3 linked regions of the Oryzias latipes genome follow. The protein of the gene in region 2 interacts with the protein of the main gene of each other region in a pairwise test. Links are inferred from orthologs where the notes say so. Each region holds a gene or a part of one and is shown on either strand. Other genes may lie near its edges. The genes, in order: nck2, N-chimaerin and hemk1.

The links.
Region 1: the proteins of N-chimaerin (region 2) and nck2 interact in binary tests that used the Homo sapiens proteins (3 or more experiments, as listed by UniProt). The two-hybrid records come from large-scale screens. The link is inferred for Oryzias latipes from reciprocal best matches to the Homo sapiens genes CHN1 and NCK2.
Region 3: the proteins of N-chimaerin (region 2) and hemk1 interact in binary tests that used the Homo sapiens proteins (3 or more experiments, as listed by UniProt). The two-hybrid records come from large-scale screens. The link is inferred for Oryzias latipes from reciprocal best matches to the Homo sapiens genes CHN1 and HEMK1.

Annotation. Positions count from the first base shown.
Region 1 is NC_019879.2:10,333,124-10,336,721, forward strand, and holds part of nck2 (cytoplasmic protein NCK2), read left to right. Parts: intron 1-2,877; coding exon 2,878-3,072; 3' UTR 3,073-3,598. UniProt on the Homo sapiens protein: Adapter protein which associates with tyrosine-phosphorylated growth factor receptors or their cellular substrates. Maintains low levels of EIF2S1 phosphorylation by promoting its dephosphorylation by PP1.
Region 2 is NC_019860.2:23,907,139-23,911,462, forward strand, and holds the start of N-chimaerin, read left to right. Parts: upstream 1-1,465; 5' UTR 1,466-1,946; coding exon 1,947-2,019; intron 2,020-2,345; coding exon 2,346-2,384; intron 2,385-2,460; coding exon 2,461-2,516; intron 2,517-3,653; coding exon 3,654-3,685; intron 3,686-3,788; coding exon 3,789-3,902; intron 3,903-4,324. UniProt on the Homo sapiens protein: GTPase-activating protein for p21-rac and a phorbol ester receptor. Involved in the assembly of neuronal locomotor circuits as a direct effector of EPHA4 in axon guidance.
Region 3 is NC_019863.2:8,120,438-8,124,823, reverse strand, and holds the start of hemk1 (hemK methyltransferase family member 1), read right to left. Parts: upstream 2,837-4,386; 5' UTR 2,579-2,836; coding exon 2,516-2,578; intron 1-2,515. Other genes in the region: GATOR complex protein NPRL2, read left to right, coding at 3,605-3,676. UniProt on the Homo sapiens protein: N5-glutamine methyltransferase responsible for the methylation of the glutamine residue in the universally conserved GGQ motif of the mitochondrial translation release factors MTRF1, MTRF1L, MRPL58/ICT1 and MTRFR.

The sequences.
Region 1 (3,598 bases), on a different chromosome or scaffold from region 2:
GACAGTGATGAAAGTCTTCCGGGAATTCCCGGAAATCCGGGTTTTTGAGCAAACCGAACGTACTTTCCGGGAAATAAAGACCTGATCTCTACGGACAAATCGCTTTCCGGATTAAAAAATGGTCTGAAATCAGCTAATTTTAGCTTTATTTTCTATATTTCTCCGCAGATAGCTTCCTCTATGGTCGTGGCCATCCCTCGTCTTCCCGGCCTAATTGACCAATGACGGGACGTTTTAGTTGCTTTCGGATGCGTCGACGGGTCTGATTGGCTCTGTCTGCACCACGTGGTCAGCGTGACTCGCTTCCCTAGAGACCAAAACTGGCGGACCCACGCTAAATTTTCACAAACACATCTGAAGAGTTTGCGATCAAATTTGTGTTAAAATAATGGCAGGCATCGTCATTATTGAGCGTGGTCACGACCTCAGTTGTGAGAAGACGATAAAAAACAAATTGAAGTGGTCTTGGCTGGAAAAAAAAGATTTTTAAGGTAGTGTAGGTCAAATACTTTTTTGTGTAAAATAATCTCAAAACCACATTTTGAAATAATTTCAATTTTAGTTTTGAGTTTCAGTTTTTATTTTGAATACATTTCTTTATCTAATTTATTTGTATTTCCTAATTACCATGATTTAGTTCAGTATAGTTGACATTAATTATAAGTATTTGATGGTTTGGACCCGCACTCCCTTAAAAAATAATGTTTACAATGTTTAGTTTAGTTTGTATGTTTGTTTTGATATTTCCCAGATTACTTAGTATTGGTGTTAAAGAATTGATGTATTATGTTATAGAATTATAGTTTAAAGCAGATCCCATATTTTGATGTAATTATAGTTTGAGAAAACAGTGCAAGTGGATGTTGTACATCAGTCATTTCTAAAGCAGAAATAATGTATAAATAACTGAGGTATTTTCATAGAATATCATAGTTACTGGTGTTCTTTTTGCCATTTGGGGCTTTGATGTTACTATATTTTAGCAATTGTATGTTTTGCAGCTTTAAGGAAAAGCGTAGATTGTAGGATTGTGTTACTTTGAGCAATTTTCCAAATTCTTTTTTAGGACCAGCAAGTCCTTAATGGAGAGTCAAACTAGGGGTTTGAATGACAAATCATGATGCTCCAATTAGTCTTAGTTTCTTGATAAAGAAGTGAATAACTAGTTGCCAGAATGCACCAGAATGCATCTAAGACCACGTATTTTTCCAAAATTTCGCTCTGTGCCCGCCATATCGCTCAAAGAAAAGTTCAGGGATTTTTTCCTTGCCTGACTTTCATCACTGAATAGAAAAATCCACCAATTAAGGCTTCACCTGGAGTCTACTTGAATTATTCATCACAGTACACTTCCTGCTCAGAGCAGCAGTTAGTTTATCAATGGGATTCTTGATGACTCGGTTTATGTTTTTGCTGAGTCATGGTTCTTTTTTCTATTAAGCATTAGAAGCCCCATATATTCTGCTTAGTCATGAACAAACAAAACAGAAAGGTGAAAAGACTATTTAATAAATGAGAAACATTTGCAATCTCTGATTTATATTTGGAGGCATTTTAACCCTTTAAAGCCCCCCACCTCACTGAATATTCAACTTCTTTCATTTTCTACGTCACAAATACGCTTTTTTAAACGACATCTTTTCGTCTGCTCCTGATTCACATCGATTTGAATAAAAAAATACTAAGAAATCCAACTTTAAGCATAATTTTCTTTAAATATACATATACATGTCCTTCATCATGAGGAAATTGTCACAAGAACATGTTAAAAACACCGTTTTCATCAGAGTGGATCTTTAAAGTTTAAGTCCTGAAGTTCACCTGCATTTCCTTCTCGCTTCTTTAAAGACTTGGAGCCAAATGGTAGCAACTATTTCACCATACAAGGAAGTAGCACCAAACAAAAATCCTCCTGAAGACAACTGGATTTATTTATTTTTATTATTTTATCATTCTCATAAACTTCTTTCAGACTTTTCCAAAGCATAGATAAGGAAACCTAGCGCCCTGACTCTGCACTTCCAGACTGTTTCCGTCTGAATTTCGGCACCAAAAACTAATTCTGTTCTAAAATATTGTTGAGCTCAGAAGCTTCTGAGCTGAGAGTTATGACAGAATTAGCTTCATGTCTCAGAATGAATCAAACTTTAATAAAAGGTTTCATCTTTTTCATCTTTCATCTCTTTTATGCTCCAACAGAGGAACTCAAAGGTTTGCTACACGTGTTTTAAATTAAAGACATTTATACATACATTGTATTAAATATAACTTTATACCAGAAATGCATAAATTACCTGTGTTTTTTTTAAATTGTGTTTTTTGTAACATCTTATTAAGCGTTTTGTCTCTTTCATACAATAAACACTCTTTAAAATAAACAAGTCAAACATAATGTAGATTAGTAGATGTTTTGTTTTTCTTCCTTGCCCCTCTAAATGAGACGATTTATCATTTTGGAGTAATTAACTCTTTTCTGATGTTTGGGTCAAAAAAAGTTTTTTTTTTTTCCTTTAAAAAAATGTGGGGATAAAGATTCAGACCGAAAAAAATGGTCTGTTTTTGCCACAAAAAAAAGGTTTAACAAAAGAATATTTTATACTTACATAAGCAACACATTTATTGTCCACTTAAGTGTGGAGCCCAAAAGCCTCTCAAAGCAGCTCCTCAGACCTCCTCTTTCATTACATGTGATCCATAATGCGGAGCAGTTAGGAGCAGGATAAAGGGAGTAAAAGGAGGTTTTATCTGGAACTATCTCACAAAAAAGACAAAAAAACACAAAAAGAAACAAAAGCCTGAAGCAGAAAGGCTGCAAATGGGAGACTCTGCTGCCATCTGCTGGAGAGTCGGCTCTAATCCATCTTCTTTGTTTTGCAGCCCAGTGATTTCTCTGTGTCTCTGAAGGCGGTGGGGAAGAATAAGCACTTTAAGGTGCAGCTCTCAGACGGAGTGTACTGCATCGGCCAGCGCAGGTTCAACTCCATGGACGAACTTGTGGAGCACTACAAGAAAGCCCCCATCTTCACCAGCGATCAGGGGGAGAAGTTGTATCTGGTCAAAGCGCTGCTGTGATTCACACGCCTCGACGCTCTCATAGCCCCGCCCCCCTTCTTCCATTACCTGTCTCACTTGACCAGGTTTCAGATCCTCCGGTCTTCCACCGGCCTCTCTGCCCTGGATGTGTTTCCAGTGAGCACATCTGCTGCTAACAGAACGTGTGAGGCCTTGTTGGGGTGTGGGGGGGGGGGGGGGGGGGGTCTCACTCTGATGTCACTCATCATGTCTATTTACAAGCAGGGACGTTGTCAGTCGCACCGTCGCTCTTAAAACACACAGGAGATCCAAACCTTGAGCTCTCATTTTCTTTTAAGGACTGCTTTCAGACCTCTTTGTTTATATTTCCTCACCAGTTGTTTTTCACAAAGTGACCACAATCACTCTTTTGCCTTTTTAATCGTTTTTCTCCCACCATTCCTTTGATTTCTGCAATTCCTGAATTTGTCTGCCTCAGCCGGTCTGAACTCTTTCCTTAAGGCAGAGGGGGGCGGGGCCTCATTGCAATAGAGGAGACCGCCAAGTTCCTGTAGAGTCGATGGGT
Region 2 (4,324 bases):
GTTAGCTGTGGTCATGGACTGATCAGCCATTGTTTACATGCAGCTTCTGTCTGCAGCTTCCTCTGATGTTTCTCTGCTTCTCCTTTGCTTCTCTGAAGGATCTAAAGTGAGTTCAGGACAGGATTCAGGTCTGCGGTTCCATTGTTCAGCATATGGAGATCAGGATGGCCTTAAATGTCTTTGGTAAGCATCTTATTAAAATCTTATTTTTTTGTCATTTTAATCACCATTTGAGTGAATTGGCATCCTCTAATCGGTTAAAGGTTGTACATTTTTTTTAGAGAACAGAAGAAATGTGACCGTAACAGTTTAGTCCAAGGCAACTGTGCGTAAAGTTTCATTTCAGAGAAGAGAAGAGATTTAGACATTCCTCTAAAGTCAGATGACAATTTCCCAAAACCGCCGGCTAGCTTCCTGGTGCAGAAAGACGGTGTGTCCAACAGGTTTGCACGGCGCCATGACAGCCAGGAGCAGACGCTCCCTGAGCAGGAATGGAGGACAGGATGCAGAAGCCTCCGTGAGGGGCAGATAAGGCCGTGGAGGAGGTCTGACACGGGGCAGGAAGGCCGCCTACTGGTGTCACACACAGATATGGACGATGGCAGAAAACCCCACTTCAGAAGGTTTCTGTACCACAGAAGCCGAAAAGATGGTCGGATTTAAGTCTTTAGCTGCTCCGCTGGTCACCCAACAGAGGAATTCAGCAAAAAAAACATTGTATTTATGAAAAACAACAACCTTATCTTAAAAAAAACCCAAGATGTTCAGGTTGACCTCAACTGGTCAGGATCTCCGGTTACCAAAGATACGACTCTGAGGTCATTTTTAATCACGGTCGGATTCAAGGACACATCCGTCTGAGGTGTCCGGCCCGATTCCAGAAGCTCCTTCCAACAGGAAGTGAGCGTCCAAGTCCTTATCATCTCTACAGAAACGCTTAAAGCTCTAAAGGAGTTTGGTTCTGTGATCCAGAGACGACCACGACTGTAAATCTGGAATCCAAACATGCTCATGAGGATCATCCTGTGGAAAAAAACTATATAGTGTCTCTTGGCTGAAATATAATGTGTTTGAAGGACGGTGTTGTGCTCTATGGTCTGTTTGACTGATGACTAATGGGGAAATGATTAACTTTAGCTGCAGCTCATCCATTGTCCACATGGTGGCAGTGTCTGAAAGGGAAGGAGCTTTAAGGAAGTGAGGGACAGTAGCTACTGTGTATTTATCATTGACTGTGAAAACAATGGACGGCTCAACCCCTCCTGTCTCCTGTTCCCAAATAGGAAGTACCGTTGCTTCCTGATACGGGCGCCGCCTTGTTGAAACCAGTCCACAGTGATTGGTCCGAGACGCTCTAAGTCATCGTATCCATGGCAACTACTGTCGCCATTGCAGTTGATGCGATGACTCTGGCTGTGTCCAAACTCGACTGCTGCATCCCGGTCCTTCCGGGTGATGTTGTCCTTCGTCCAGTGGCTAGGCCGGATGTAACGGCTGTGAATTTGGACGATAATTCCAGCCGTTACATCCGTGAATGTCATGTTGCCTAGCAACCGTGAGTCCCGAAAACAGAGCGGAGTATTGAACCAGCTCAAAGTTTTCCTGCCTTATTTGATCCAACTTTTAATCTTGGAGGTGTAATTATAAAAACGTGTAATCATTTTTTAACACCGTCTCCCACTTCACAGTCTGCCACCGTTATCAGAAAATATCTAGGTTTGGCTGCAATGCATCTTGGGATATGTACAGCATAGACGGATACAGCAGATCAATCCTTGAAATCTGGGAAAAAGAAGGCCGTATCTTAGAGGCCGCATTTGAAGGAGTCGTTGAATTTGGACAGCTCGTGTCGCGTGACGTAAGCAGCCTTCAAATGCAGCCCAGGAAGAATGCAGCCCTAGAATTCGGACACGGCCTCAGAGCGATGACTGTCTACCGGATTCAACATGGCGGCGCCCGTGTCACGAAGCAACGGTGATGGATTTGGCCTCGTTTCACAAGAGCTGGAGGTTTCTACGGGTGATGTCACACCTCCATTCCTCCATTGTCTCTACAGTCTATGGTGCTTCCACGATGCTTTTGTACTGTCAATGGGATTCAGTTTGGTTTACAGCCCCATTCACACACACACATTCACATACACATCCACACACACATTTGCAGACATATACAAACATTTTGCTTCCATAAAAGTCACTTCTGTCACCACCAGGAGGAATGTGGTGTTCGGGGTCTTGCCAAAGGACACTTCACCACTTAGCCGTACAAGGCGGTAACCAAACCTGTGACTCATAGGTCAGAGGTCGCCCCCCCTCCCCTTGTCTGATGCCTCTTTGTGTTTCCAGATCATGACGATTATCGGCCGCCGGTGTGGAAGTCCTACTGTGAGTACAGGTCTTTGCTTGAATCGGTGTCCATGTTGTCAGTCGGCGGTCCTCACACACCAACTGTCTGTCGCAGTGTACCAGCTCCAGCAGGAGGCGCCACACCCCCGCAGAGTCACCTGCACCTCCGAGGTGAGACGCTTCCTCCCACCTCACTGTCCAGCCTTGTTTCAGATCCAACCTTTAAACCTGGAAAAGCCGATTTTCGTCAGTGCAGATTTTCCAAACGTCTTTCTTGGTTTGACTTGCAGCTGTTCAGCGGGTTGTTACCCATTCAATATAAACCTTTATTTTTTTTTTTTTAAATCAGCTTATTTAAGGTCACTCTGTGCTACTCCCCACTCTAGTGCAGACTTTGCCTGGGGGTAGTAAAGATGTGGGAGGGCACATCTGGTGTTTGTGGTTCCTATGGAAAACTGCTGAATGACCTGAGAGGGGCAGCTGGTGCTGACCGACAACAAACCGGTGGGCAGGAGGAATGAAAAAAGAACCCCAGACCCCCCCCCACATCTTCACGCCATTTCACAGACTCGCTGCTCTTATTCATTGTGGGGGTGTCAAGGTGTCGTGGTGATATTATGGCATGTATTTCACATTTCAGGAAGTGAAAAAGTTAACTTTTCAAACTATTTTCTCTAATAAATGTCGACTACTTTTGACGTGAAACAGAAAAGTTCACTCGTGTTTCCTCTTTGCTGCCTTCTGAAATCCTTCAGACTAAAGTTTTCAGTCAAAAATAGATTTGAAAGGCTTTGTGGAAGCTCACAAACACCACTCTGCCACGGGTGGAGGTTCAGAATCGGTCTATTTTTTGCGCTTAGGCTCATGAAAACAGCAGCGAGTCTCTCCTGCAGATGCGTGTCATGTTTGCCTCCGGCTCCAGAACAACTCATTTCATCATCCTCTCCAAAGAGGGACTGAAAATAGGCTCCCCTCCCCGTCTGATTCCGCTCCTCCCCTCAGCTCTCCACGGCGTGATGCTGAGAGTCGGCCACCAGCAGCTCTGGTTGCCGTCTGCGGTGACGCTCTTCACGTCTAAAAAGATTCTTCCAGAAAAGCTCTGAACCTCTCCGCTCCAGCCCCCGGATTGATATTCACAGCCGTGCTCGCCGCCCCCCGCTGATTTATTGGCTCAGCAGCAGTTTTGTGGGGAACCACACAATGTCTGACTCATGCACTATTCTCTGTGCACACACACTCACCAGGCAGCTTCGGGGTCCTGAAGCCCCTCCCACATGTTTGACATGGAAAACCTTTGTGTCCCCGCAGGTGGAGAACCGTCCTAAATACTACGGCAGAGAGTAAGTCCTCCTCCTTCTCCTCCTCCTCCTCCTCCCTGCGGCCATGTTGGCGCCTTTTCCACCATGACGGGTCTGCTGGAGGTTCTGCTCTGCTTCCGCTCAGGTTCCACGGGATGATCTCCAGGGAGGAAACGGACCAGCTCCTGAGTCAGGCCGAAGGCAGCTACCTCATCCGAGAGAGCCAGAGGCAGCCGGGCACCTACACCCTGGCCCTGAGGTGGGTTTGATCCCCGACCAGGAGCTCAGTTTTAAGTTCACAGAAACTCAAAGTCTCAAGTTTGGGGCGGTTTGCCAAAAGAAAAAAACATCTAAATGTTTTAAACCTTTCCAAACAAACCGCAGGAGATGAAAACGACAACGTTGTTTCAGAAGCACGGAGGTGGAAGTTCATAATTCGCACTTGTTGTGCAGATTATTGTGAAGTACATTTGTGTCTTTGTGACTCAAAGCTGCAGCTGAACTGAAAATGGTTCATTCAACAGGCCGTCGAGACTTTTTTATGCAATCCACCACAGTTACTGCTGGACAAATATGACAGAAAGCATCTAAAAAACTACCATCCAACTTAATAATCTTTGTTTTTTTGGGGCAAAAGCCTCACATGGAAAAAAAATACGTTTAAGGTGCTTTTGCCTCCGA
Region 3 (4,386 bases), on a different chromosome or scaffold from region 2:
TAGTTTCTGCAGAGCGGCAGTAGTTCATTAGAAATTTACCTCTGACTTGTGGGGGGGACGATTAGCATGAGGCAACCCCGCCCCCTTCACCCTCCCTGCTGCCTAGAGTCCAGTGTTTACACTCTCTTCTTCTAGCTTACAGCCCTTCACAACCCCAACCTAACATTACCAGTGCAACAAAAATGGCGAGCAATAGTGGATCTATCCAGCCGTACAGTTCTGACTAGATACCAGATCAGACGAGGAAAAAAAAGAGGTTTATGGTTCTAGTCGTCTATGGAACAGAGCAGGGAAGTTGTGTTGGTCCACAAATCACCATCTTTTTTACAATCCAGACTGGAATTTGTCACGCTGTGTATTGATCAGCCACAAAGCTTCAGAGAGAAAATCCTGTGGACAGACGAGACCAAACTGGAGCTTTTTGGGAACATCAGCTCTGTGATTACATATGCAAAACTGAAACAAAGACATGAGGACCGTCATACTGTGAAGCACGGAGGAGGCTTGGCTATGATATGGGACTTCTTTGCTGCATCTGACTCAGAAACGATGAAATCTCAAGACCATCAAGTCATTTTGAAATCAAATGTTTTGCCTAGAAAGCTTTGTGTCAGTCTACCAACAGGAAAATGTCCCAAAGGCAAGAATGACTAAAGGCCTGTTCACACCGGGACGAATTTCGCCGGCGACATTCGCTGCGTTTAACGCCTCGTGACTAAACAAAGGGCACCAATGTGAGTGTGCACACCGACGCGAAAAAACGCCATGCGTCAAAGCGTCACTTTTTTAAAAACGCCTCGGGTTCGGTTTTTTTTGGTTTGACGCGCCGCGTCGAAAACTATATGACCAATGAGAATGGCGCTTTTGCACACGTGTCTGGAGCTTCTGAAGTTACACTAAAACACAACTTGGGGGCGCTCAAACACAAAACTGCCTTGCTGAGCACACATACCAGCGAAGAAGATGCGTCTACACTGCTGCGAAGAAAGAATGACGGACATTCTAAAATATCCCCGAACCAAGCACCAGTTGGAGCTACTGGTGCTTGAAATATTCATGTTTTCTTTGTTTGATTCTGACAAGCGCGTAAATACTTGCTCTCTTCTTCTGAGTGAAAAGCGACTTTAAGAAGCGTAAAGTTGCGCAGCGCCACCTTGTGTACAGGAGTATTTCTGTTTTACATTAAGCGCCATCTAATGTCAAGGAATGAAATTGCATGTTCGCTCGGCTCATCGTCAGCAAAAATCGCCTGGGTGTGAACACAAAAAACGTGGCGAAAAATGCTGGCGAATAACGCCTGGCGAATATTCGTCCCGGTGTGTACGGGCCTTAAGAGCGAAACTTCAGAGTGTTCTGATGGAAGGAGTTGAAACATGCTGTCAGGAGAAGGAAGCTCTGCTGTGATTCCATTTCTCCACACACCTGCATCAAGGTATTTCTTGTTCATCTCTAAAGAGTTGAGCTTGAAGCTCCTGAGAAACATTTTTTCTTTACAAAGTGAAAGGACCGGGGAGGTCAAAACTTTCTTCCAGTTCCTCCAGTGTTTTTACTCAGTACAAGTGAGTACAAGATCATACCAGAAACAAGTTTGTCTGCATTTTATGCCTCTGTAGCTGCTCACACAAACTAATTTGAGTACACTTACTGGAGTGCATCTCCAAAACATGGCAACTGGTTTGACTTGGATGAAACTGTTCAGAAATTTAGATGGCTCACTGACAAAAATGGAATCTCTTCGTTTGTTTGTGTTGATTTAGAGTAAAAACAAACCCGACTTGATTCGTTAGATCCACTTTAGCTTGGGCATGAAAAAATAAAAATAAAGGTGTGACAGGATGTTGAAGATCCACTCCAATCTTTTGTTTTAATTTAAAAGCGTTCTAAGCGGCCTCATAATTATAATCATGCAATTTCTAGACCCCCCCAAAACAAAACAGAACGGTGTCATTGTCTAGGATAGTTTCTGCAGAGCAGCAGGAGTTTATTAGAAATTCAGATGTGGGTGGTACCTTTGGCACACAGAATATTGTTCAAATTTAAATAATTTTCAAAGGGTCTGATTTTCAGTGCAAATTTGATATTTCATTACAAGCACTGAGGATGGCTTAAACATATGACAAAGAAAGAATAAACAAATGGAAGAAAAAAGCACAAAAAAGAATAGAAATGTCAAATAATTAGATATTTAATTTGTATAGGTTTGAGTTGCTTTCGTGAATAATTTAGCTGTTAAAGGATCATTTAACCCCTTTGCATCTTTGATTATCATCTTCACTCTGATACACACGTTATACTCTGTTACTTACTCTGTTGCAGGACCAGTTTGCTCACAGCTATCAGCCCAAAAAGCAGGCTCCAACTGGTTTTATCCATCCATTTATTACTGCACAATAATAAACAATAAAAGCCTGCGTATCATTAATTTCATCACTAAGCGCACGTGGTCATTTCTGTTGCACCACATTATTAATTCTGGTCTTTGTGTGATCAAAGCATGTTGTGTTTCAGCAGTTACCTTTGTCCCGCCACTCCTCAACCCAATAAAAGCGTGACCTCCTCTGAGCACTCGTCTCCACATGTTCAATAACAACAACAGCGTTCACATCCCCACGTGGCAAGAATCATGCTGCACTAAAATAACACATTAACCATTTACAGTCTATATATACAGTCTATCTATAGTTGACGAAATGATTCTCTATACTAAGTGACTGTAATTTGACTATAAACTGAAGACGTTTTCCTCTGTAGTCCACATGAGAATTGAAAGGAGCTCGGAAAGTACTGTTTCCGCAGGGCTTTACGCAAACACACCAATCCTGGACTGCGCATGACTGACTCTCGCGAAGCGTGCTGCCTTCAAGTGCGTCGGTTAATATGAACTACAACAGCCAGCAGAAATAGAGAGGTGCTTATTAATAGAAAGAATGATTAAAACATTCTACTTAACAATTTCAACGAAAAATAATGTAGAGTTAATAAAAGTAAATAACATTTAACTCTAGTGTTTTAGGACGTCTCAAAAACTAAAATGCCTTGATGATATTAGTGAGTCCATAGTGAGTCCGTGAAAGTGAAAATGAACAATTTTAGAAGTTTTAGTATTTGTCATGCATCAGAGCATCAATATATTGATGTTAAATTTGCATTAAATTCCTCTGAGACTCATTGTGAAGCGTACAGGGCTTTTTGGGTAATACTTTTAAGGAAGCCGTTGTATTATCCCTCATTTTCCAATAGGTGGCGACAAATCTTCTGTCAGCCGATCACCAACGTCCAACTGCTCTACAGAAGAAGAGAAGCGACTTGTGTTGTTGACTGCTGAGGGTTTTCACATGCTGTTTAAACAGTTTAAGACGCGTCCAACAACAATATCTCTAAACGCACCGATAATACTATATTTTATTCGGTGATCAATATTAGGACTGTTGGACGCTGTAGAAATGTCGCCACTATTTTTTCCTTAGGCGCAAAAGCGTGGAGCTAGCTAGCTAGCTAGCTTCGTTTAGCTGAAGCAGGAAAGGAAGAAACGACATCGTCCGTTTCTTCTGTCGGTATCTCTGACTCTAATTTTTAGCCTCTGTGTTTGAAGTTCGTCACAGGCATGGTCAATCGGATAGAGTGTATATTCTTTAGTGAGTTTCACCCCACACTGGGTCCAAAGATAACATATCAGGTGAGTGCTAGTCTGAAGTTGTGATCATGATCCGTAAGCAGACTAGAATAGTAACTTAGTCTTTAATGTTTACCTTAGTAGAACGGCCACAACAATGCCTCTATTATGCAGTACCGCATTATGCTGTGCCCTATTTTGTCCTAACACAAGAAAGTAAGAAAACTTGTTTTTCCTTTTGTTATTTTTCGCTTCCTTTTTGCACATAATGTTTCTTTTAATAACAATCAATGTCAGTACATTTCACTTTAACTTGACGCCCCACTTGTTAAAATTGCACTTTTTTTTCCTTTTTATATGATTATTATTATATCTCTCACATGGATTCAATGTGTCATGTGTTGTATCATTAAGATTTATGATCAACAGTAATTATAATAGCATCACCTACATGTGTTCGAAGAATGTATAGAAATGGATATTTACTTTCAATATTTTATTTTCCAGTCAAATAATTACTAATCCTCTTAAGTTTGATATATCTATGTGTAAATGTATCACTCTTGTTTGCCTTGCCCTGTTTTCATTGCTTGAAATAAATCCATACCTAATTCTAAAGGTCTATTAAATGAAACCGTAAAAGTGCAGTATTTTAACAGAAGTACAGATGAATACGAGAGTAGCTCCCTTTAAAAAAATCATATTTAATTTAAATAAATAAGTTGAATCTTCTTTATATGTTATATTGAACTGAGAAATGACATAAAAATATG